Struthio camelus: one gene and its partner. The protein of the gene in region 1 purifies or fractionates together with the protein of each later gene. This does not show direct contact. Links are inferred from orthologs where the notes say so. Each region holds a gene or a part of one and is shown on either strand. Other genes may lie near its edges.

What was found. The genes of interacting proteins can lie anywhere in the genome.
Region 2: the proteins of NAA30 (region 1) and NAA38 purify together in Homo sapiens (co-immunoprecipitation; 3 studies listed by BioGRID and IntAct, with this or other methods). This does not show direct contact. The link is inferred for Struthio camelus from reciprocal best matches to the Homo sapiens genes NAA30 and NAA38.

What each region holds. Positions count from the first base shown.
Region 1 is NC_090946.1:78,556,105-78,566,582, reverse strand, and holds the start of NAA30 (N-alpha-acetyltransferase 30), read left to right. Parts: upstream 1-6,442; 5' UTR 6,443-6,565; intron 6,566-6,664; exon of another isoform or gene 6,665-6,845; 5' UTR 6,846-6,848; coding exon 6,849-7,784; intron 7,785-10,478. UniProt on the Homo sapiens protein: Catalytic subunit of the N-terminal acetyltransferase C (NatC) complex. Catalyzes acetylation of the N-terminal methionine residues of peptides beginning with Met-Leu-Ala and Met-Leu-Gly.
Region 2 is NW_027182697.1:114,866-125,002, reverse strand, and holds NAA38 (N-alpha-acetyltransferase 38, NatC auxiliary subunit), read right to left. Parts: upstream 4,023-10,137; 5' UTR 4,003-4,022; coding exon 3,940-4,002; intron 2,080-3,939; coding exon 1,911-2,079; intron 860-1,910; coding exon 747-859; 3' UTR 516-746; downstream 1-515. Other genes in the region: CYB5D1 (cytochrome b5 domain-containing protein 1), read left to right, coding at 5,921-6,000, 6,693-6,929, 7,196-7,316, 7,790-7,910, 8,205-8,873, 8,963-9,204.

The DNA.
Region 1 (10,478 bases):
CTACTCCTGATTTCCTGAGTGTCAGTAACAGGTGGTGCAGAATATACTGTTAGGACTCACTCGGAGAATATTTTCGAAAGCATTAAAAAAATTCCCTTAAGCTATTCTGAGCACTGCAGGCAACACTCTTCTGCCTCTGAAAGGAATCTAGAAACTTATATTTCCTCACTAAAAGGAAAATATCTCTGCATATCTCTGGCCCTGCATGAGTCAACTAAGCCTCAATACAGAATAGGCGGTATGAGTTGAATTCTTGCCTCAGGAAAGTCAGAGCTGAGTTGTTGTTCAGCGGCATCAGGATCTGATTCAGTGCGAATAGAGGAAAAATCAAGGCAAAGTTATGAGATCCCACTCTGCAATATACTTAAACCCACATCTAAGCATAAGGTCATGAATAGCCCCAAGTCACATTAACTGCTGGATGTACTGGTCTTCAGTGAATAAAAATGGGTTTATGCATGACAGTAATAAATTTTAAGGGTGATGTTTTAAGTTGCCTAATTCCCTGAAGCATTTTGGAGATTCTGCTTATTGCTATCTTAAATATCTACATCATGACGAAGAAAGAGAGAGAGAGAGTGACAAGATCAGGACTGCCGCAGCATGGTGCAGAGCATGCAGGAGTTTCACTTTTGGCCAGCTACTCTACCTCTCTGCTTCCCTGTTAAGAGGGAAATTTGACATCGTAGTGTCATCTAAGAGAGCTGAAGCATCAGTTTCCTATGCCCCTTTACACTTAAACATTTGTTTAATACTCAGTATAATGTAATCTTTAATATAATTAAGTTAGCAGTCACAAAATACTTTGCTACTTCTGTTCTCAGTGTCCTGCCAGTACAGTTAATAAAATGAGTGATATGCTGTTAGCTTCCCGTTTGACACACACGTTGTGAAGTAAAATCCACTTTTGGCAATAGAAGATTATTACATTGCTGTAATCTGGATAAGAAAAAGATAGGAAGATACCTGAAGAACCCACTCTAATCTATTCCTATCACAAGGCAGGACTAGCTATGTGGTTTTTAGCCTTAAAAGCTTTCAGTGATAAGCTTCTCCAAGGCCTTATTGCAATTTTTCAAAGCCCTCAACATTTAAAATATTTTTCAGCTATCTTACCAGAATTCTTTTGGTCAGCACTTCTTGTCCTGTCCACTAAGAACATGAAAAACCCGTGACCGTGTTCCGTGTTAGTCAAGTCTTTCTTAAGCTGAAGAACCCTAGTGTGCTCACTTTTCCATCGCAGGTCCTGTTTTCTAGCCCTCTGCTCGTTACTGTGCGCTACTCCGAACGCTTCGAAATTAGCGCCTGTGTTTCTTGCCGTGCAGTGCCCAAAGCTGGGCTCCAGCTGGTGCTTCCTGATGACCAAGTGGAGAAGGGTTCCTTTTCGTACTGTCTTTTTCCACAGAACTGCAAACCATGCACTTGTTCTCCAGCACGTCTCCGTGCAGTTGTTTGCTCTGTCCTAAGCATACCACCTTGCATTTGTCCCTATCGAATAGTGTCCTCCCCTTTTCAGACTGCATTTCCAATTTGTCAAGATCCTTTGGAATTCTGTCCCCATCCTCTGATATCTTTGCTGTCCATCCTTGCGTGGCTTTGTCTCCAAATATAACAAATATCCTTTGTTATATAAGTCTTACTGTCTTATAAGTCTTACTGATGTCAAGATTTACAATTTGTACTGTTTCTCCTCTGTCTCAGAGCCTGCTACCCTGTCATGGAAGGAAATGAGATTGGTTTGACATGACTTGGTCTTGACAAATCCATATTGACTGTCACTAATCTCCTTGTTTTTTTCTTAAATGCTTACAAATTGTTTGATTATTTGTTCCAGCGTTTTTCAGGAAATTGAAGATAAGCTGATGCGTCTATAATTCCCTAGCTCCTCCTTCTGTCCTCCCCCTCTTTAATAAGTTTCCATTACCTCTTTCATCCACCACAGTTTTTAAAGGTATTTATTCCCCTTAATATTTCTTACCATAGAGAGTCTATCAGCAAAAGAAAAACAGTAACCAGCAGAGGACGTTCTAAAAAGATTACTGTACTTTAATGACTTCAAAGACGCTAAATCATACTTTAAACAGTTTTAGGTAGATTATTACTCAGTTTTTCAAAGGACTCTAGTGTCGATCTGTTTCCATTCCTGCTGAAGGAAATAAGAAATTTCTCATTGGCTCCAATGGAAGCTCAGAGATTTTAAAAATTCATTTCCCTAACTCCAGAGTTGTTAAATGTATATTGATATGGTAAATGGTAAATAGGGTGCCTACTGTACAGATTTCAGCAAGTGCGCTTAAAAGGACATAAAGTCACATGATTTTTAAATATACTATAACTACATTTTCTTTTGTTAGACGGCTGTAAAACCAATCCGACTCAACTGGTCAAACTGAGTTTAAAACTATTGACTGGTGTTATTACAAGAAAGTATGCCTCAATTTCCTGCTGGTATGCTCCTTTCACACAATAAAGTGGGATGGGTCAGAGCATGTGGGTGAGTAGTTCACGCAAGAAGATCAACATATTGACTTGCTGAAGTTAAAATATCTCCTTGTGCAATACTGAGAGCACTAAACAATGATGGAACAAGCAGCCAGCCAGATGAGAAAGTCAGACATGCCTAATTCTTACAGTACTTTCTCTTCTTGCCAGGGATTGTTTTCAGTGGAGTTAGGCCTACACACACTAGCTGAGATCTTAGCTACCTGCTTTAACTTTACAGTGGTATACTGACTTTTCAAGTACATTGTGTCTGCAGCTTCTCTCCCCCCTTGCTTCTCCATCCTTTTTGATAAAGGGTTTGAAAGAGAAGAGCTGTCCCTGGCTATTTGCAATGAAGCACATCATTTCAAATCAATCAATCATTCCTCATTAGCTTCACAGACCAGATGCAAGGCACAGTGGAATCAATGCTCTGCTATGAAATCATCTCTAAAAAAAAATCTCCACTCCTATATACATTTTTGCTTGGTTTCTAAATACACATAAAGCCCCGGTGCAAAATAAAGGCACGGAGATTCCTTCTGTCCCTTCTGTGGTTTCTTCCAATACCAGAGAAGGCTCCTGTGTCCCCACAAGACTGGGAGAAGTGAGAGACCTCTGATAGCACAGGAGTCTCGGCAGAGTAGGAAAGACAGCAAAAACTCTTCCTGAAAGGCTCAAGAGCTCCTTATCAGAAGGAGCACTCTTGAATGCACCTACCAACCACGTCTCTTACTCCTCCTGCTGAGCTATGATTTTCTCCTCCTATAGAGAGTAGGCATGGGTAAGAGAGGCCAGCTTTAGTTATAAAGACTCAGATAGTTTCACCTGTAGTAGAAGTGTACGAGCAAGAAATGGAATAAATATTGTCATGGCTGACTCATCCTTCACAGATCTCTGTTTTCTTTTTTTCTCTTTTTGCATCTCCCAAATCTCTCTCATCATCATTTCACACTTGATTTCAATGTAGCTACAGAAGTGAAGATGACAATTGCACTGGTGTATTGATCTTGACACTACAAGTCCCTGTCTCCCATGGAGACAAATGTCATCTGCCCAGAGACTGCTGTCAGAAGAGATGCAGTGACTTCTGTATGTTCTTCTGCTAAAATAAACCGAGTTTATGGCACAGGGTCACTGTTGTGGGAATTTCAGAGACTGGAGTGCTGTCCAACACTACCCCCTTGTGATTTCTCTTGTTACAACACTCTTTCTAAACCACAGTTTTTCCAGATTGACCATTTTACACGAAGACTCTCCTTCTGAGCAGCACACATCCCACCACTTAAACAGACAGCTTGCTCAGCGTGAACCAAGCAACATTTGATATGTATACATACATTTTGTTTTTACTGAATTCCTCTTTTACTGTGCTTATAACCTTATATACTTCGATATGTATGATTCTCTATTTGCTGTTTCAGGAGCTCAGACAGACCTGGTATTTCCACCTACGCTGGCACATGTTGCACTTCCTGTCTAACTACAGAGTTAGGTGCAGAAATTCTAGATATCCTCATATTTCTTTATTATCATATTGTATCAATTTGAAGTGCAGAAGACGGAAGTCAAGCTACTTTAATTGAATGACAACATCTTTGCCCACACAGTTCATTGCCGGGCTGTGGAGAAGTCATAGCTCAGCTAGTGTGGCCAGTGCAATAGTGGGCAGGTATTAGCTCAGGTCCTTTCTTTGTTAAACATTGACCTGCTTCTCCTGTTTGTTTCCCCTGATTAAGTACAGCTCAATATTCTGTGTGCAATATCCTCATTTTTGGTGCAGCTGTGATGTTACCATCATTATGCCAGGGAACATGACATGTTTAGATGTCCGCTTTCCACAAGGGTTTCCTTGAGTTGAGATCTAACGCAGAGTAACTGCAAAGTTAATCCAGTGACCAGATAGTTCCCTTAGATATCTAAGAGAAAAAGGAGAAAGGCCATCAATAGCTCCCTTTCTTTTTGGAGATAACAGAACTATACAGGAACAGTTCCCCAAGTGTGTACTGTTTTCTTAATAAATGAATTAGCCATAGAAACCCCCAAGGTCACAGAGTTATTGAACAATGAACTAGAAAGACAATGAGACTTGTGTTCAAGCCCCGTCCTAGCTTCAGAGGAAGGAGTGGTTTGCAACAGCATGACGGTGCTCAGGGCTGCTGGAGGTTCAAAAAGCAGTGAGAGAAACCTGAGGAACAAAAATGCACCTAAAGCTATTACACAAAAAGCTATTACACACACTTCTGGTTCAGAAAGTCCATTTAAAAAGCAGCTGGCCTCTTTCTTGTCATCGTAATACAAACAACAGATAAGACAAATGAGAGGCAGAGTAGGCTTTGCAACTGAGAATATATCAACAGTAGCCCTAGGACACCTTTCACTTAACTTCAGAGAGTGACAGAAACGGTTTCCGTCTCAAATGAACTAGTTACGTTGAGGTCCCTTATTTAACGGGATGATGGCACGCACCTCCAAGACACAAGTCATCTGACCGGCTTTGGAAATCTAGTTTAGGATGAGCTGAATCCCTCCACAAAAGTGCCTTTTCCTCTCCAGGGACATTAAGGGGAATCAAAGGCGACTAGCTCAGACAGGGGTGCCTACAGTGTACATATCCACCTTTGGTCAGATGGGTCCTAGCTATGGACAATGAACTGCTAAGATCAACAACCAAACCAGGACCTTCTGAGCTTGGAAGCTGTTCAACAGGTATTGGAAGTGGAACAAAAAATGTTGCCAGTACTGTCAGAGAGCTCAAAAGAGAGGTTTTCCATAGTACCTGTGACCTCACTGAAGTAACATAGTATGTTTTTATGATAACAGCTATATCATTTTCACCCTATATGACAATTTGTGCTGGCTCTTGGTTGTCTTCCTAACATGGATACCACTGTAACACACAGGCTCAGGCACTTCCAATCACGCTACCGCAACACGGTAAACGAGAGCTGAATTTGGGCCATTACTACATTGACATTTGTTTGCTCTTTCTGTTTAAACTACCTGAGAACAGTGAACTTAACTGCACTGCCAGCGTGCCAGAGCAGCCCAGATGAGACCCATAAAAGCCCTTTGGTGCGTGAAAACCATTTTAATTCATTCACTTTCAATCAGATGTTTTCCTTTTCTCTCACTTCACTTCAGAACTTAACAATTCATAAGCGGAAGTCTGAAACTGGATCCAAGGTTTATTTTCACCCTAATTAAAGAACCTTGTTGGGACACGTAGAGAAGTTGCTAGGTTTTCCTTGTAAGTCCAGACCTGTCACTTCATAGAGAAGTAACTGTAGCAGAAGAAAATGAGTCTTGCACGCAACAGACCCACAGAGCTTCCTCGTGTGAAAAGGAGACAGTGCTGTTTCTTGGGCGCTTATTAACAAAGTCTCCGCAGTAAAAACACTACAAAGGATTTGCTTATTGCAGTGAGGTCTGCGGGCATATTCTTAAAACAGGCATTACTTAATTCCGAAACGCGGCAGAGACACCGCGCACTTGAGAGAGGACTTGTTCAAATTTCTGCGGATTTCCCAGGGCGACCAGCTGAGTGACTTCCTTACCCAGGCCCCAGGCCCTTCACGAGGACTCAACAGCGGCCCTGACGAACCTCCTTCCCCGCTTCTGCACATTTCTGAAGCAAGAGCTACAAATACCGCCCCCCTGCCCTGCTCCGACCCCCCGCCCCCGGCTCCGCGCTGCCCGCGGCCGTCGCTTTTACACCCTGGGGGCTGACGACGGTTAAAAAACAAAGCGCAAAGCGGCGTGCAGGCCGCGGCCGGGCCCGGGCCCGAGCCCGAGTAGGCCCCACCACGGGCCGGGAGCGCCTGGGGGCAGAGCTGCGGTGCCGGGGACTGAGGGAGCCGCAGCGGGTGCGCCCGGCCCGGCGCGAGTTAACGCAACGGCGCCGCCGCCACCACCACCGCCCAGGCCCTCGCCGCGCCCCGCCCCGCCGTCGCCGGGCCGCGCCGCCAAGGGAGGAAGTGTCGCAAGGGCTGACAGGAAACTTGGCGGCGGGTTTACGGCAGCGGCGCTTGGCGGCCGCTGGATGAGCGGAGAGTGGGAGCCGCGGCGCTGAGGAGAGGCGGGGGTGAGCGGCGGCGGCGGGCGGGGGCCGCGGCGGCGGGAGGCCGCCCGGGGCGGGCCGGCGACCGGAGGAGGGTCCCGGCGGCGGCAGCAGCGGGGCTGCAGGAAGAGGCGGCGGCGGGGCGGCGAGGCGGGGCCCGGGCCCTGTCTCTGCCTTTGTTCGCGCCCCCCTCCCCCCCCCCCCCGCCGCCGGCCCCGACCGCGGCCCGTCAGGCCGCCGCCGCCCTCCCCGTCTCGGCTGACGGCCGCCTCCTCGGCGGGTTTTGTGTCGGTCTCTCCCGTAGGATATGGCCGAGGTACCGCCGGGGCCTAGCAGCGTCCTCTCCCCGCAGGGGGACACGCTCTCCCCCTTCCCCGGAGGAGGAGGGGGGGCTGCTTCTTCCTCCTCCTCCTCCTCTTCCACCTCCTCCGCTGCCGCCGCCGCCTGCACCGGGGCCCAGGACGAGGAGGCCGAAGAGGAGGAGGAAGAGGAGGGACCCGCGGGCGGACGGGAGCAGCAGCAGCGAGGAGGAGGCGACGGCGGCAAGGGGGGGCAGCAGCAGCAGCAGCACCGCCTCCACCACCACCACCACCACCCCCCGCACCACAACCACCAGCTCAACGGCGTCATCAGCCCCGAGCTGCGGCACCTGCGGGCCTCCCTCAAGAGCAAGATCCTCAGCTCGGAGGCCGGGGCAGCTTCCGAGGGGCAGGAGAACAAGCGAGCCAGCAAAACAATGGGCTCTGGACAGCAGCAGCAGCAGCAGCAGCCGTCGCCCCCGGCCGCAGCACCGTGCTCGACCCCCCTTACTAACCACCTTGCTCCCCAGGGAAGGACTGCACCCTCTCCTCCTCCTCCTCCTTCTCCCCCAGCAGCAGCAACAGGGGACAGGAGCCAGCCTGCTGCCACAACTATGACTGCTGCTAAGAGTGCAGCCCGCAATGGACTCGCAGGAGGGACTGGCTTGGAGGAGGAAGAGCAGGAGGAGGGGGATGAAGGAGGGGAGGAGGAGGAGGAGGAGTCCCTGCTGCTACTCTCCAGGTCCTTAGCAGCAGCCTGCAGTTTGAAAGGCTCGGGAACGGACTCTCAGCCCGAGGAGGACCTAACGATACGATACGTCCGATATGAGTCAGAGTTGCAGATGCCCGATATCATGAGACTGATCACCAAAGATCTGTCTGAACCCTACTCCATTTATACATATAGGTATTTTATCCACAACTGGCCACAACTTTGCTTTTTGGTAAGTGCCCGGGGGTGGCAGGAATTGGGAGTGGTTTGGGGCTGGGGAGGAGAGGATTTAAAGGGTGACGTTTGTGGAAATACTTAGGCTATTCCTTTCATGGATAAGGGGGAAGGCCAAGGTTTTCTGGAAGTACCTTTCACTAATGAATTGCTCTCACCACCTGTGCCTGTATAAATAAAGCATGTGCCTAAAGATCCTACATTTATGAATAGATGTTTTGAGTGGTGGTGAAAGAGTTTGAACACAGGGCCAGTGTCCAGGAACTCAAGGGTTCTAATCTTGGTTTTGACATTGACTTTTGTGACCTTTGTCAGCTTATTTTTATTGTTCTGTCTCAGTTCCTAGGTTTATATATTTTTTTAAAAAGTATTTAGCCCATTAGTGTCTTATGAGTGCTTAGTAATTCTTGCACAATGGTTTTGAAACAGACTTCAACATGGCTAGTATATAAGTGTTAAGTGATACGTGGAGAAACAGTGTTAAATGTTTTGTAGATTCTTTTGATTTGCTAGCCTACTTAAAAAAGACAATTGCAACTGTATTGCTTCATACAGTTGTGAGAGTGTATGTAGCATACAGAAATTTTCATGCTGCCTCAACTATCTCGCAGTGCTAATGGCATGTTTAGTTTCATATTCTTCACACTGAGCTATTGAAAAGGATGATATAGCTTTTATGCTGTCTTTCTAAATATTTAGCAGCTCTTATGGAAGAGCGACTCCTGGGCAGTTTTAGAACTTGCACAGTTGAAAAGCATGCTGTTAAGATGCTAATCCATCCACAGGTATATGAAACTGAGTATAAGTTAGCCTGAGGGGGGTGTGTGCATAGGGGGACCTTAGCTGTGTTTGCTCTTTCTCGTATGAAAATTTCAGTCTCTAAAATGGAACATTTGTGAGAGTGTATGGCACGACGTTGCTAAGATGAATGATACGTTTTTCTCCCTCGATGTTTTAATCGAGGCTGGACACCTTTCTGAAAGATATGATTTAGCCAGAGCCAAGATACCCTTCAATTCAGGAGTATCTCTGTAAAATTGTAGTAGGATATGAGTACAGGAGGTCAGGCTAATGGAATCCATCTGGCCTTAAGCTTCCCGACTGTTCTTGTTTTAGGGTCTGGTATAATTTATAGCAGGATTTATATGATTTATAGGAGGATTTTCAGAACTATGCCTCTTAAAGCCCTAAAGAGGGAATACAGTAGGATTGTAGGAAGTTGAGCAAAACATTACCTTCGGAAACAAAACAAAATTATAAAATTATTTGAAAACACTGTCCAATGTAAATTCATGATTGCCATTATATTATTAATTATAAGCATGGTGATCGGAGCAGAATGGTATTTTTCAAGCACTGAGCCTATCCTAGCTATGTGTGCAGCTGATTAATCTCATACTGAAAAGAAGTGCTTGTGAGCTACAAATGTCCCTAGTTTCAGCATCAAGTGCATTGTTGGTAATGCCAAGGAAATGCTGGCTGCTACAAGATCACAGTGCATCTTTTTAGTCTTTAGATCTTGGGATTTTTTTGTTTTGTTTCCTTTTTTTGGTCAGAGAGTAACTTGAGAATTTTGTTGTTACGAAAAGGGCGATGACACATTGTTTGACAGAGCTCTAAAATATTTGATTTCTAATATTTATTTTTAAAACAAGTGCTTTCAAAGAGCATGTTTTCACTCAAGGAAAAGATCTCTTAAGCTTATTTTCTAGTGACGGATTCATTTTTTTAATAGCCTTGAATCAACAAAACTTAGCTTGAACTTTGCGAGTCTACTCAGATTTGCCATTTTTATGAAGTGCAGAACAATATGAAGCGCATAAAACTAGAGAAGGATATGTGGCTACAAATGTCTAAAGGAATTATCAAATTGTTTTATAAATGTAATAATCTGAGGCTCTTGCAATATGTTATTTTTTTGTGCCTGGTTTTAGCATTTTGAGGTTTGTTTTTAGAGGTTTTATTGAAGACTTTCTCTTCTGTGAAAATTAGTCTGTTCCTGCAGTTAATGGATTCCTGGACTACCTCTCTCTAATAAGTATCTTTAAAATATTTACCTTCAGTGAGGGACTGTGTGTTCCAATTAGCAGGAACAGTGTCAGGACAGTGAGAAGAAATACCGTAATTTTCCTCTCTAGCATCTTGGATACCTGACAATGCAGAACTCTTTCTTGGGGGCATTATTAACACTATTCCTGTGGGTGATGATCTAGGAGGTTTGAAACTTAAGGAGTTGTGGCTTGGCCTTCCCAAATTGTAGGGACACTCTAATGGCTAGTGCAACCAAAAAGGGCTACTTGCTCTTCCTTTTCTATCGCCTGTCTCTTCTTCCTTTGTGCCAACGTTTATATTTATCTGATTTGGGAAGCTAGGCTAGCTGCACCCTCCACCCCCAAAAAAGTAAAGTAATGGCCATGGACACACATGCATGCACATGTTTTTGTATGTGTGTTTGTCTGTGTATGTATATATATATATATATATATATATATATATATATATATATATATATATATGCGCGTGTGTGTGTGTTCTATGGTCAGCTTTCTCTTGATTTAGCTCTCCAAGCATATTCATAGTGGGAGCACACAAGTGCCAATGTTGGTGCAAAAGAAGAGGTGAGATCCTCCAGCATAGCTGGAGAGAAGGCACAGGACCAACCCTGCCTAGTCGCTAGCTTGGTTTTGCTCTA
Region 2 (10,137 bases), on another chromosome or scaffold:
CTGGGGGGGGGTCCTGGTTTGGAGGGGGTCCTGGTTTGGAGGGGGTTGGGGGGGTGGTTGGGGATCCCAGTTTGGGGGGGGGTCCCAGGGGGATTTGGATTGGGGGAGGCTGGTTTGGGGGGTGGTTCAGTTGGGGGGGGTCCCAGTTTGGGGGAGGGGGCTCTGGTTTTGGGGGGGGTCCAGTTTGGGGAGGCTGGGGGGGATCTGGATTGGGGGGACCTTGGTTTGGGGGGGTCCAGGTTAGGGAGGGTCCCAGTTTGGGGGGGGTCCAGGGGGATGGTCCTTTGGAGGGGGCAGTGGGGGGCCTAGAGGGGGTGCGGGGGAGGGTCCCAGTTGGGGGGGCCACCCTGGGGTTTTGGGGGGGGTCAGAGAATTGGGGGGGGGGCCGGTTGGGGGCTGCAGCTGCCACCACCCTCGCCCCCTCCCCCCCCGCCTGCTCCAAGGGGACCCAGGGACACCGGTTTGGGGGGGGGGCACCCCAACCCCCCCGTCGCGTGGTGACGACACGATGTGGGTGGGCTCCAGGGAGGCTTTAATGGGGCACAGGCAGCCTGGGCCCCCCCCGGCCCCCTCCCATGGCGCTCACGGGGTGTCACGCGTGACGGGGAGGGGCTGTCACGCGTGCGGAGGCTGCCGTGGGTCGGGGGGGGTTGTCACGCGTGCCGGGGACGTCGCAGGTGCGAGGGGGCCGTCACCGATCCGGTCCCAGGAGCCGGGGGGAGGGGGCGTCACGCGTGCGGCGGGCGTCACGGGTAGAGGGGGGCCGTGGCGCTGTCCCGCTCCACCTCGATGGAGACGATGTGGTGGCCGGGCACCATGGCCAGGCCCAGCACCCGCGGCTCGCTGCCGGGGAAGGAGTCTGCGGGCACAGGGACGCCTCAGCGGGGCCCAGGCGTCCGGGCCACCCCCCCCAAGGGAGGGGACCCAGGCGTCCGGGCCACCCCCTGGGAGAAGGGACCCAGGTGTCCGGGCCACCCCCTGGGAGAAGGGACCCAGGCGTCCGGGCCACCCCCCCCAAGGGAGGGGACCCTGGCGTCCGGGCCACCCCCTGGGAGAAGGGACCCAGGTGTCCAGGCCACCCCCCCTAGGAGGGGACCCTGGCGTCCGGGCCACCCCCTGGGAGAAGGGACCCTGGCATCCGGGCCACCCCCCCTAGGAGGGGACCCTGGCGTCCGGGCCACCCCCTGGGAGAAGGGACCCTGGCGTCCGGGCCACCCCCCCTAGGAGGGGACCCTGGCGTCCGGGCCACCCCCTGGGAGAAGGGACCCTGGCATCCGGGCCACCCTCCCCTAGGAGGGGACCCTGGCGTCCGGGCCACCCCCTGGGAGAAGGGACCCAGGCGTCCGGGCCACCCCCCCTAGGAGGGGACCCTGACATCCGGGCCACCCCCTGGGAGAAGGGACCCAGGCGTCCGGGCCACCCCCCCTAGGAGGGGACCCGGGTGTCCGGGCCACCCCCTGGGAGAAGGGACCCTGGCATCCGGGCCACCCCCCCTAGGAGGGGACCCTGGCGTCCGGGCCAACCCCTGGGAGAAGGGACCCAGGTGTCCGGGCCACCCCCTGGGAGAAGGGACCCAGGCGTCCGGGCCACCCCCCCCAGGAGGGGACCCTGGCGTCCGGGCCACCCCCTGGGAGAAGGGACCCAGGCGTCCGGGCCACCCCCCCAAGGGAGGGGACCCAGGTGTCCGGGCCACCCCCGGGAGAAGGGACCCAGGTGTCCGGGCCACCCCCCCTTAGGAGGGGACCCTGGTGTCCGGGCCACCCCCTGGGAGAAGGGACCCAGGTGTCCGGGTCCCCCCTTACAGCCGCCGGTGGGGGGCCAAGCCTGACACCCACCTGCCCCCCGGTGTCCGGGCCGCCCCCCACCTTGCCCCCCCCCGGCCCGGGCAGGGGCCCCGGCGTCCGGCTCACCGGCGGCCTTGAGGAACTCCTGGGCGGAGCCGAGGATGACGTTGGCGTCGCGGTCGGTGCAGAGGAAGGCGCCCACCAGCGTGCGCCCGTCCGACATGCGGATCCGCATGCTGCGGTTCAGCAGCGCCTCCAGGCGCCGCCGGGCCCGCGGGTGCCCCCCGCCGGGCTCCTGCGACCCCCGTCAGCCCTGCGCGGGGGGGGGGGGGGGCCGGGGAGGGGGCAGCACCACCCCCGCAGGGCCCCCGGAGCCCCTCCCGGTGGGTCCAGCTATAGCCCACCCCCCCAAATTCCCCCAAGACCCCTCCCACAGCCCCTAGGGCACCCCTTATAGCCCCCCCACCTCCCAGGGACCCCCCATAGCCCCTCTACTGCCCCTAGGGCCTCCCCACAGCCCCTACGGCCCCCCAAGACCCCTCCCACAGCCCCCAGGGCCCCCAATAGCCCCCCCACCTCCCAGGGACCCCGCCATAGCCCCTCCACTGCCCCTAGGGCCTCCCCACAGCCCCTACGGCCCCCCAAGACCCCCTCCACAGCCCCTAGGGCACCCCTTATAGCCCCCCCACCTCCCAGGGACCCTCCATAGCCCCTCCACTGCCCCTAGGGCCTCCCCACAGCCCCTACGGCCCCCCAAGACCCCCCCACAGCCCCTAGCGCACCCCTTATAGCCCCCCCACCTCCCAGGGACCCCCCATAGCCCCTCCACTGCCCCTAGGGCCTCTCCACAGCCCCTACCGTCCCCCAAGACCCCCCCACAGCCCCTAGCGCACCCCTTATAGCCCCCCCACCTCCCAGGGACCCCCCATAGCCCCTCCACTGCCCCTAGGGCCTCTCCACAGCCCCTACCGTCCCCCAAGACCCCCCCACAGCCCCCAGGGCCCCCCAATTGTCCCCCCACCTCCCAAGGACCCCCCCATAGCCCCTCCACTGCCCCTAGGGCCCCTCAAGAACCCCCCTCCACAGCCCCTAGGGCCTCCCCCATAGCCCCTAGGCCCCCAATAGCTCCCCTATAATACCCAGAGCCCCCCCATAGCCTCTAGGTCCCCCTATAGTCCCCCCACAGCCCCTAGAACCCCCATTATAGCTCTCCACAGCCCCTAGGACCCCCCCCATAAGCCCTAGGGCCCCTGAAGAGCCCCCCCACAGCCCCTAGGGTCTCTCCATTGCCCCTGGACTGCCCCCAATAACCCCTAGACCCCCCCCTTAGCCCCTCCCAGCCCCAATAGCCCCCCCACACAGCCCCTAGGGCCCCCCCATAGCTCATAGGGTCCCCCATAGCCCCTAGAGCCCCTCAAAAGCCCCCCCACAGCCCCTAGGGCCTCCTCATAGCCCCTATGCCCCCCCTACAGCCCCCTATAGGCCCTATGGCTCCCCCACACCCCCTAGAGCCCCCTTATAGCCCCAAGTTGGCCCCATGGCGCCCCCCCACAGCCTCTGGGGCTCCCCTATAGGCCCTATGGCTCCCCCACAGCCCCTAGGGCCCCCCCATAACCACCCTGTAGGCCCCTGGGCCCCCCTACAGCCCCTAGGACCACCCTACAGCCCCTGGGCCCCCCCACAGCTCTTGGGGCTCCCCCATAGCCACCCACAGCCCCCCATAGGTCTCATGGCCCCCCTTACAGCCCCTAGGCCCCCCCATATGCCCCCACAGCTCCTAGGCCCCCCCCACAGCTCCCCGTAGGTCCTATGGCCCCCCCCCACAGCCCCTGGGCCCCCCCATAGCTGCCCCTTAGGCCCCATGCCCCCCCCCACAGCCCTTGGGCCCCCCCATAGGCCTCTATAGGCTCCATGGCCCCCCCCACAGCCCCTGGGGCCCTCCCCCAGCCCCCCTATAGGCCCTATGCCCCCCCCCACAGCCCCTGGGGTCCCTCCAAAGGCCCTAGGGCCCCCCTACAGCCTCTGGGGCCCCCCACAGCCCCCGGGGCCCCCCAACAGCCCCATGCAGTGCCCCAACAGCCCCTCCCGCCCCCCTCGCTATGGCCCCCCCACCTCCCCCAGGCCCCGCCCCTCGCCGTGGCCCCGCCCCCCTCACCGGCGGGCCCCGCCCCCGCCCGCCGCAGCCGTTCTCCTCCCGCGGCTCCGGCGGCTCCGCCATGGCGCCGAAGTCTCGCGAGAGCGGCGGCGAGATCCCGCGGGCGCGGGGCGGGGCCGCGCCTTCCCGGCAGCCCCCGCGCGGCGGCGGCGCCTACAGCTCCCGGCAGCCCTTGCGGCGCCGCGGGAGGCGGGGCGGGGAGCTCCACATCCCGGCATGCCTTGCGCTCGCCGGTTTTAGGAGGCGGGAGGTGGGGGGGGGAACAAAGGCGGGCGGGGCGGGGCGCGATCCCGCCATGCCCCGCGCGGCAGCATGGCGGGGCGGGAGGAGGGAGAAGGACTACATTTCCCGACATGCCTTGCACGACGCGGCGGGCTTTCCCGGCAGGCAGCGCGCGGCGAGCGCCCCCTGGGCCCGGGCCGACTCCCAGCTGGGGGGCGGGGTTGCTAGGGCAACGGCGCTTCCGGGCGAGCGCCGCGTCGCCATAGGAACGGCGCTTCCCGTCGGACGCCGCGCTATGGCGTTGCCGGGGCAGCGGCCGGCGTCGCCATAGGAACGGGGCTTCCCGGCAGGCGCCGCGCGCCGCGTCGCCATAGGAACGGCGCTTCCCGTCGGACGCCGCGCTATGGCGTTGCCGGGGCAGCGGCCGGCGTCGCCATAGGAACGGGGCTTCCCGGCAGGCGCCGCGCGCCGCGTCGCCATAGGAACGGCGCTTCCCGGCGGGCGCTGCGCGCCGCGTCGCCATGGCAGCGCGCGGCCGACCTCGGCCATGGCGCCGCCGCGGCCCCGGTACTTCACGGCGCGGGAGGTGGCGGCGCACGCGCGGCCCGGTGACCTCTGGGTCAGCTGCCTGGGCCGCGTGCTCGACCTGACGCCGCTGGCGCGGGAGCACCACGGTACGGCGGTCCCGGGACCCCCCACCCCTCCTTCCCCGCTACCGAGGGGGCCCCCCCCCCTCCTTCCCCGCACGCCGCCATTTTGTTGGGGGGGGGGGTCGCGTCCTTCCGTGCCCCATTTCCCTTCTCCGCCTCCCTCCTCCAGGCGACCCCCGTCTGCGCCCCCTGCTCGAGGCGGCGGGGACCGACATCAGCCACTGGTTCGACCCCCGGACGCAGGACGTGTGTAGTGGTCGGGGGGGGAACTGCCCCCAAAGACCCCCGCTGGGGTGCCTGCCGGGGGGGGGGGGTGTCACCCAGTGGGTCCCGGTGTGGGGTGGGGGTGGGGGGCCTCGGGTGACACCTGGGGGTTCCGATGTGAGGTGGGGGGTCCTGAGTAGCACCTGGGGGGGGTCTCGGTGTGAGGGGGGGGCCCTCAGGTGACATCGGGGGTGGTCCTGGTGTGGGATGGGGGAGTCGATGTGGGGTAGGGGGTTCTGGGTGGCAGCTGGGGGGTGCTGGTGTGGGGTAGGAGGCCCCAGTGCAGGGTGGGGGGGGTCTCGAGGTGTGGGGAGGTCTCTGAGTGCCACTTAGGGGGTCCCGGTGTGATTTTAGGTGTCCAGGTGTGGGGCATGGGGGTCGTGTGGGGCTTTGTGTGCTAGCATGGGGTGGGGGGGGTCCCTGAATAGCGCCTGGGGGATCCCAGTGTGGGGTGAGGGCTCCTAGTGTTGGGGGGGTCCTAGGATGACCCCTGGGGGGTCCTGCTGTGATTTTTAGGGCTCCCGATGTGGGGCCCTGGCGCTCTCTAGGTAGCACTCAGAGGGTCCCCATGTTGGTGGGGGGGGGTCCCAGTGTGCCATTAGGGGTCCTGGTGTGTGGGAGGTCCCTGTGTAGGGTTTCATGCTGGATGGGGGGCACCCTGGGGGTGGGGGGCTCCTGGTGAAGCCCCCCCCCCCCCAACCGGCAGCTGCTGAGGCGGGTGGACCCGCACACGGGCTTGCCGGGCTACCGGGCGCCGGGGGGCGGCCTGCTGGACGTGCCGCCGCCGGCGCCCCGCTCGGACTGGGTGCCCCCCGCCCGCCCCCCGTGGTGGCGGGACCCCCGGTATGAGGTGGGGCGCCTGGGCGCCCGCCCCCGCCGCCTGCGCGTCCTCAACACCCTCACGGGGCAGCAGGATGTCCTCGAGGTCAGCGTGCCCCTTTGGGGGGGGCCCGGGGCTCGTCACCGTCCCCCCCGGGGGGGGGGCAGCGCAATGGGGAGGCCCTGGATTCCCCCACCACCGTGGGACGTCCCCACTGTCACCAGGGTCGTTGGGGAGGGGTTAGTTAATGGAGGAGGGGGGGCTGGGGGATCGTCAGCCAAGGTTGGGGGACCCACAGTTATGGGGGAGGATCTGGGGGCTCGTTAGCCACCATGGGAGGATCTGGGGGGTCGTTAGCCAAAGTTGGGGGACCCACAGCTATGGGGGAGGATCTGGGGGGTCGTTAGCCATGGTTGGGGGACCCACAGCTATGGGGGAGGATCTGGGGGCTCGTTAGCCACCATGGGAGGATCTGGGGGGTCGTTAGCCAAAGTTGGGGGACCCACAGCTATGGGGGAGGATCTGGGGGGTCGTTAGCCATGGTTGGGGGACCCACAGCTATGGGGGAGGATCTGGGGGCTCGTTAGCCACCATGGGAGGATCTGGGGGGTCGTTAGCCAAGGTTGGGGGACCCACAGCTATGGGGGAGGATCTGGGGGCTCGTTAGCCGGCATGGGAGGATTTGGAGAGGTCGTTAGGTGGTGTGGGAGCCCTGCAAGGACAGGGGAGGCCCGGAGGCCTCGTTAGGGAGCTCGGGGGTCCGGTCAGGCGGGCCCGAGCAGCCGCGGCGGCCGCAGGTGTGCGCGGAGGAGACGCTGCACGACATCCTGCGGCGCTACCTGCCCCGCAACGCCCACGCCGGCAGCTACAGCTGGCGCCACGGCGGGGCCGCCCTCGACATGGAGCGCACGCTGGAGCAGAACGGCGTGGCCGACGAGGGGCCCGAGCTGCGGCGCCTCGGCCTCGACCCCGAGCGCCACCTCCCCGCCCTGCTGCTCTACTTCAACGACGACTTCACCGAGCTCTAGCCGCAGGTGGGGGCGCCCGGCTCCGTTTCGGGGGGGGGGAACGGTTTTGGGGCGAAGCAGGTGGGACCCCCGTCCCCGCTGGGGCTCTGCTCTCGGAGGGGGTTAAGAGCGAAGCAGCTCTGCCCTGAAGCGCTGTTTTGAGTTGATTTTTTTTTTTTTTCGGTCCCAAACCCATCCGTTTCCTCCGGCAAAGCTCGTCCGGGCGGCGTGGCTCGTCCCCGCGGCTCCAGCCGCGTTCGCTGCCCCATCGCCGCCGTCTCCTCCTTTTCCAGGCTGGCAGCAGCGAAATTCCCTTCCCGAGCGCGAGGATCTGTTCCTCCGAGGGCGAATCCCGGCGCAGGCGGGCTCCTCGGTCCCCGCGGGGCTCCGACAGCGCGGCTCCTTCGAGACAAGGCGCATCCCTGGAACTTTCGGAGAAATAAACCCGGTTTTGGTGTGAAAAGGCCACGGCTGAGCCTCGTCTGGGGGTCGCAGCAGGAAACGGGGCCGCGGCGCTTCCGTCCTCGCTGCCGGGATGGAAAAAAGCCATCGGGAGCCGCGTTGGGATCCGGGTGGCCGGCAGGCAGGGAGGATCCGCTCGCGTCCTGGGCCCGGGAGGAAACCTCGGGCCGCTCGGCTCCGAGCAGCCAGCGGGAAAGCAGTGATTAACTCGCTAACGAGGAGATCGGAGCCCGGTGGCGCTCCGTGGTCCGCGCCTGGCGGAGCGTGGCCAGCTCTGAAGGGGAGTTGGGGCGTCCCCGGCGTTGCCTCCCGCTCGTGCCTTCCTCGTCCTCCCGCCGACTGGCACCGTCCCTTTTCCGTGCGGGAATCGGGGCCCCCTGTGGCCTGGGGTCGGCCGCGAGCGCCCCTGCGACTTCTCCCACCAGAAACCCTCGGGATCGAACCCCGCTCGGCAGCTCCCGGCGTGGGAGGAAGAGCCGGAGCCGGCGGGAGACCCTTCCCGGTGGTCTCGCTGCGCGAGCAGGGGGATCTCCAAGCGGATCCCAGGTAATTGGTCTCTGTAGCCACTAGAGGTCAGGCCTGGAACGCTGGTGCGCAGCCCCCACCCCAAAATCCAGCCTGTTTTCCCTCAAATTGAGGGGTGCCGCGTGGCACGAGGCTCCGTCTCTGGTATCCCGGCACTCTGGTATCCCGTTGGTTTTTCGGGGACGGCCCCCCCCCGTCCTGCTCTCACCCCGAGCATCTCTCTGACCCCGAACCTCTGTCTGGTTCGGAGCAATGCCACAGGACGGTGTGGGGAAAAGGGAGCCAAAATGCGGCGTTTTGCTCCACAAAACCAAGGAGGATGGAGACTCCGGGAGCAGCCGCAGGGCGAACTCGGCCCCAATATCGGGCGCTTGGAGAATCTACGTCCCAGGAAGTCGGGTCTGGTGACCGGCGGCACTGTGACAGCCAGAGAGACGGAGGAAAAGGGTCCTTCGGGAGCCGGGGGGATCCTGAGGCAGCGGGATCGGCCCTGGGACGCACGTTCGGACGGCGGCGGTGCCCGGCGGGGTGGGAAAGCGGCTCCGCTGTCACCTCGGGGTTTCTCTGGCCCCGTTTTCGGGGTGCCCCACGAGGTTTGGGTGCTTTTGCCCCTTCCCGGCTGGGATTTTTTTATCCCCGATGCGCGCAGGCAGGTTGGGGCGCGTTCCCATGGGCTTTTTCTCACAGTTCAGTCCCCGAACCCGCTCCCGAGGATTTGGAGCCTTTCCCATTCCCTCGGCGCGTGGTTTTGGGGCTGTTCCTCCCCTCTTTGGGTGCTCTCCGCTACAGAGCAGGGACCAGCGAGGACACGAGACGTCACCCAGCTCCAAATCCAGCTCCTTTTGCCTTGGCTCAAGCGAACGGCATCCGCAACCTGCCCGAATCCCGCTGGTGTCGGGGCGAGCGGCCGACGGCTCCGGACCCCGCGACTCGGCTTTTTTCCTCCCGGGAGCCTTCAGCGGAGATATTTGGAGCTGGTTGTAGGTCCTGGAGCCTGAAGGGCAGCGTTTGGGGCTTGTGCCAGTGCGGGTTCACCAGTGTCTAATAAGGGATCGCGTTCCTCTGCAATGTAGGATCGCCGGATGTTAATCCGACCGGAGCAGCAAGAGCCGGAGCTCATCCGTCTGCTGGGGGTCGGAGCGAGCGGCGCGAGCCCTGTCGTTGCGGGGTCCCGCGCCGGCGCGGCAGCAGCCCTGACTCATCATCGGTCGAGCAGAGCCGGTTTCCCTCGGGCCCCGGGTCGAGGCCGTCCCCGGCGTTCGGCCGCGGCTTCCCAGCGGAGAGAGGCGCTCGGAGACGGCCGCCGCGCGGGTGACGCCGGCTGGCGTGACAGTCGGCGGATCGCCGTCGTGGCGGGGTTCGGGAAACGCCGCTGGAGAGCCGGTGGTGGGGCCGGATCCCCCACTCCCGTGCGGAGTTGGGAGGCGCGTGCTGAAAAAAGCCGCCCGGCCCCCAGGCGCGTCCGGGGAGCGCGCGGCCCCCGCCTGCCACTGCGCTGGCCCTCGGGAGCAAAGAGCATCCCCTGGCTCCCGCGGCAGCAGCTGACGTGGAAAAGCTCCTCGCGGCGGGTATTTTTAGCAGCTTCCAGCATGATTTAGCAGCTGGAGGCGAGGAGGGGAGCCAGCGCGGCGCACTCGCCAGCTCCGCATGGGCCCCGGCGTGGGAAAGACCAGGGCTCAGCAGTGCAGATCTGCCAGCAGCGGGGGGCGGGGGGAAGGGAATAATCACAGCGCGTGCTCGTTATCGCCAGGATTATGATAAGAGTTGGGCACAGAGACTTTATTTTCTCATCCTTGTTTTTGGGAGGAGAGAGGGGGGAAGAACAACCTGGCGGGAGGGCAGGTCTGGCACCACCGGAGGGAATTTTTTTTGCGGCGTCCCTTCGATTTGGCTGGACTGGTAGCGTTGGGCGCAGGGGGGAGGCAGCTGCAGAAGAAAGGGGAAACCGGAGCTTTCCTCAGGATTCCCTCCGTGACAAATATCCAGGTGGTTTGATTTGTTTTCGGTGCCCCCAGCCAAGGTGAGGCGGGTGCCACCGCTCTGCTGGAGCTCAAACACGTGCCAAAAAATTGCTGGGGGGCGGGGGGGACTGAATTTCAGTTCAAAGAAAAATCCCTCCTGGAAAACATCCAGCCTTGACCTAAAACCTCTTGTTCTCCGCGTTTCCCTGCAGTTGTGTCCGGCCGGAGCAGCAGCAAGGAGCCAGCCGAGCGCCCCGGGGCCAGCGCAGGTGAGCGGCCGCCTGGCG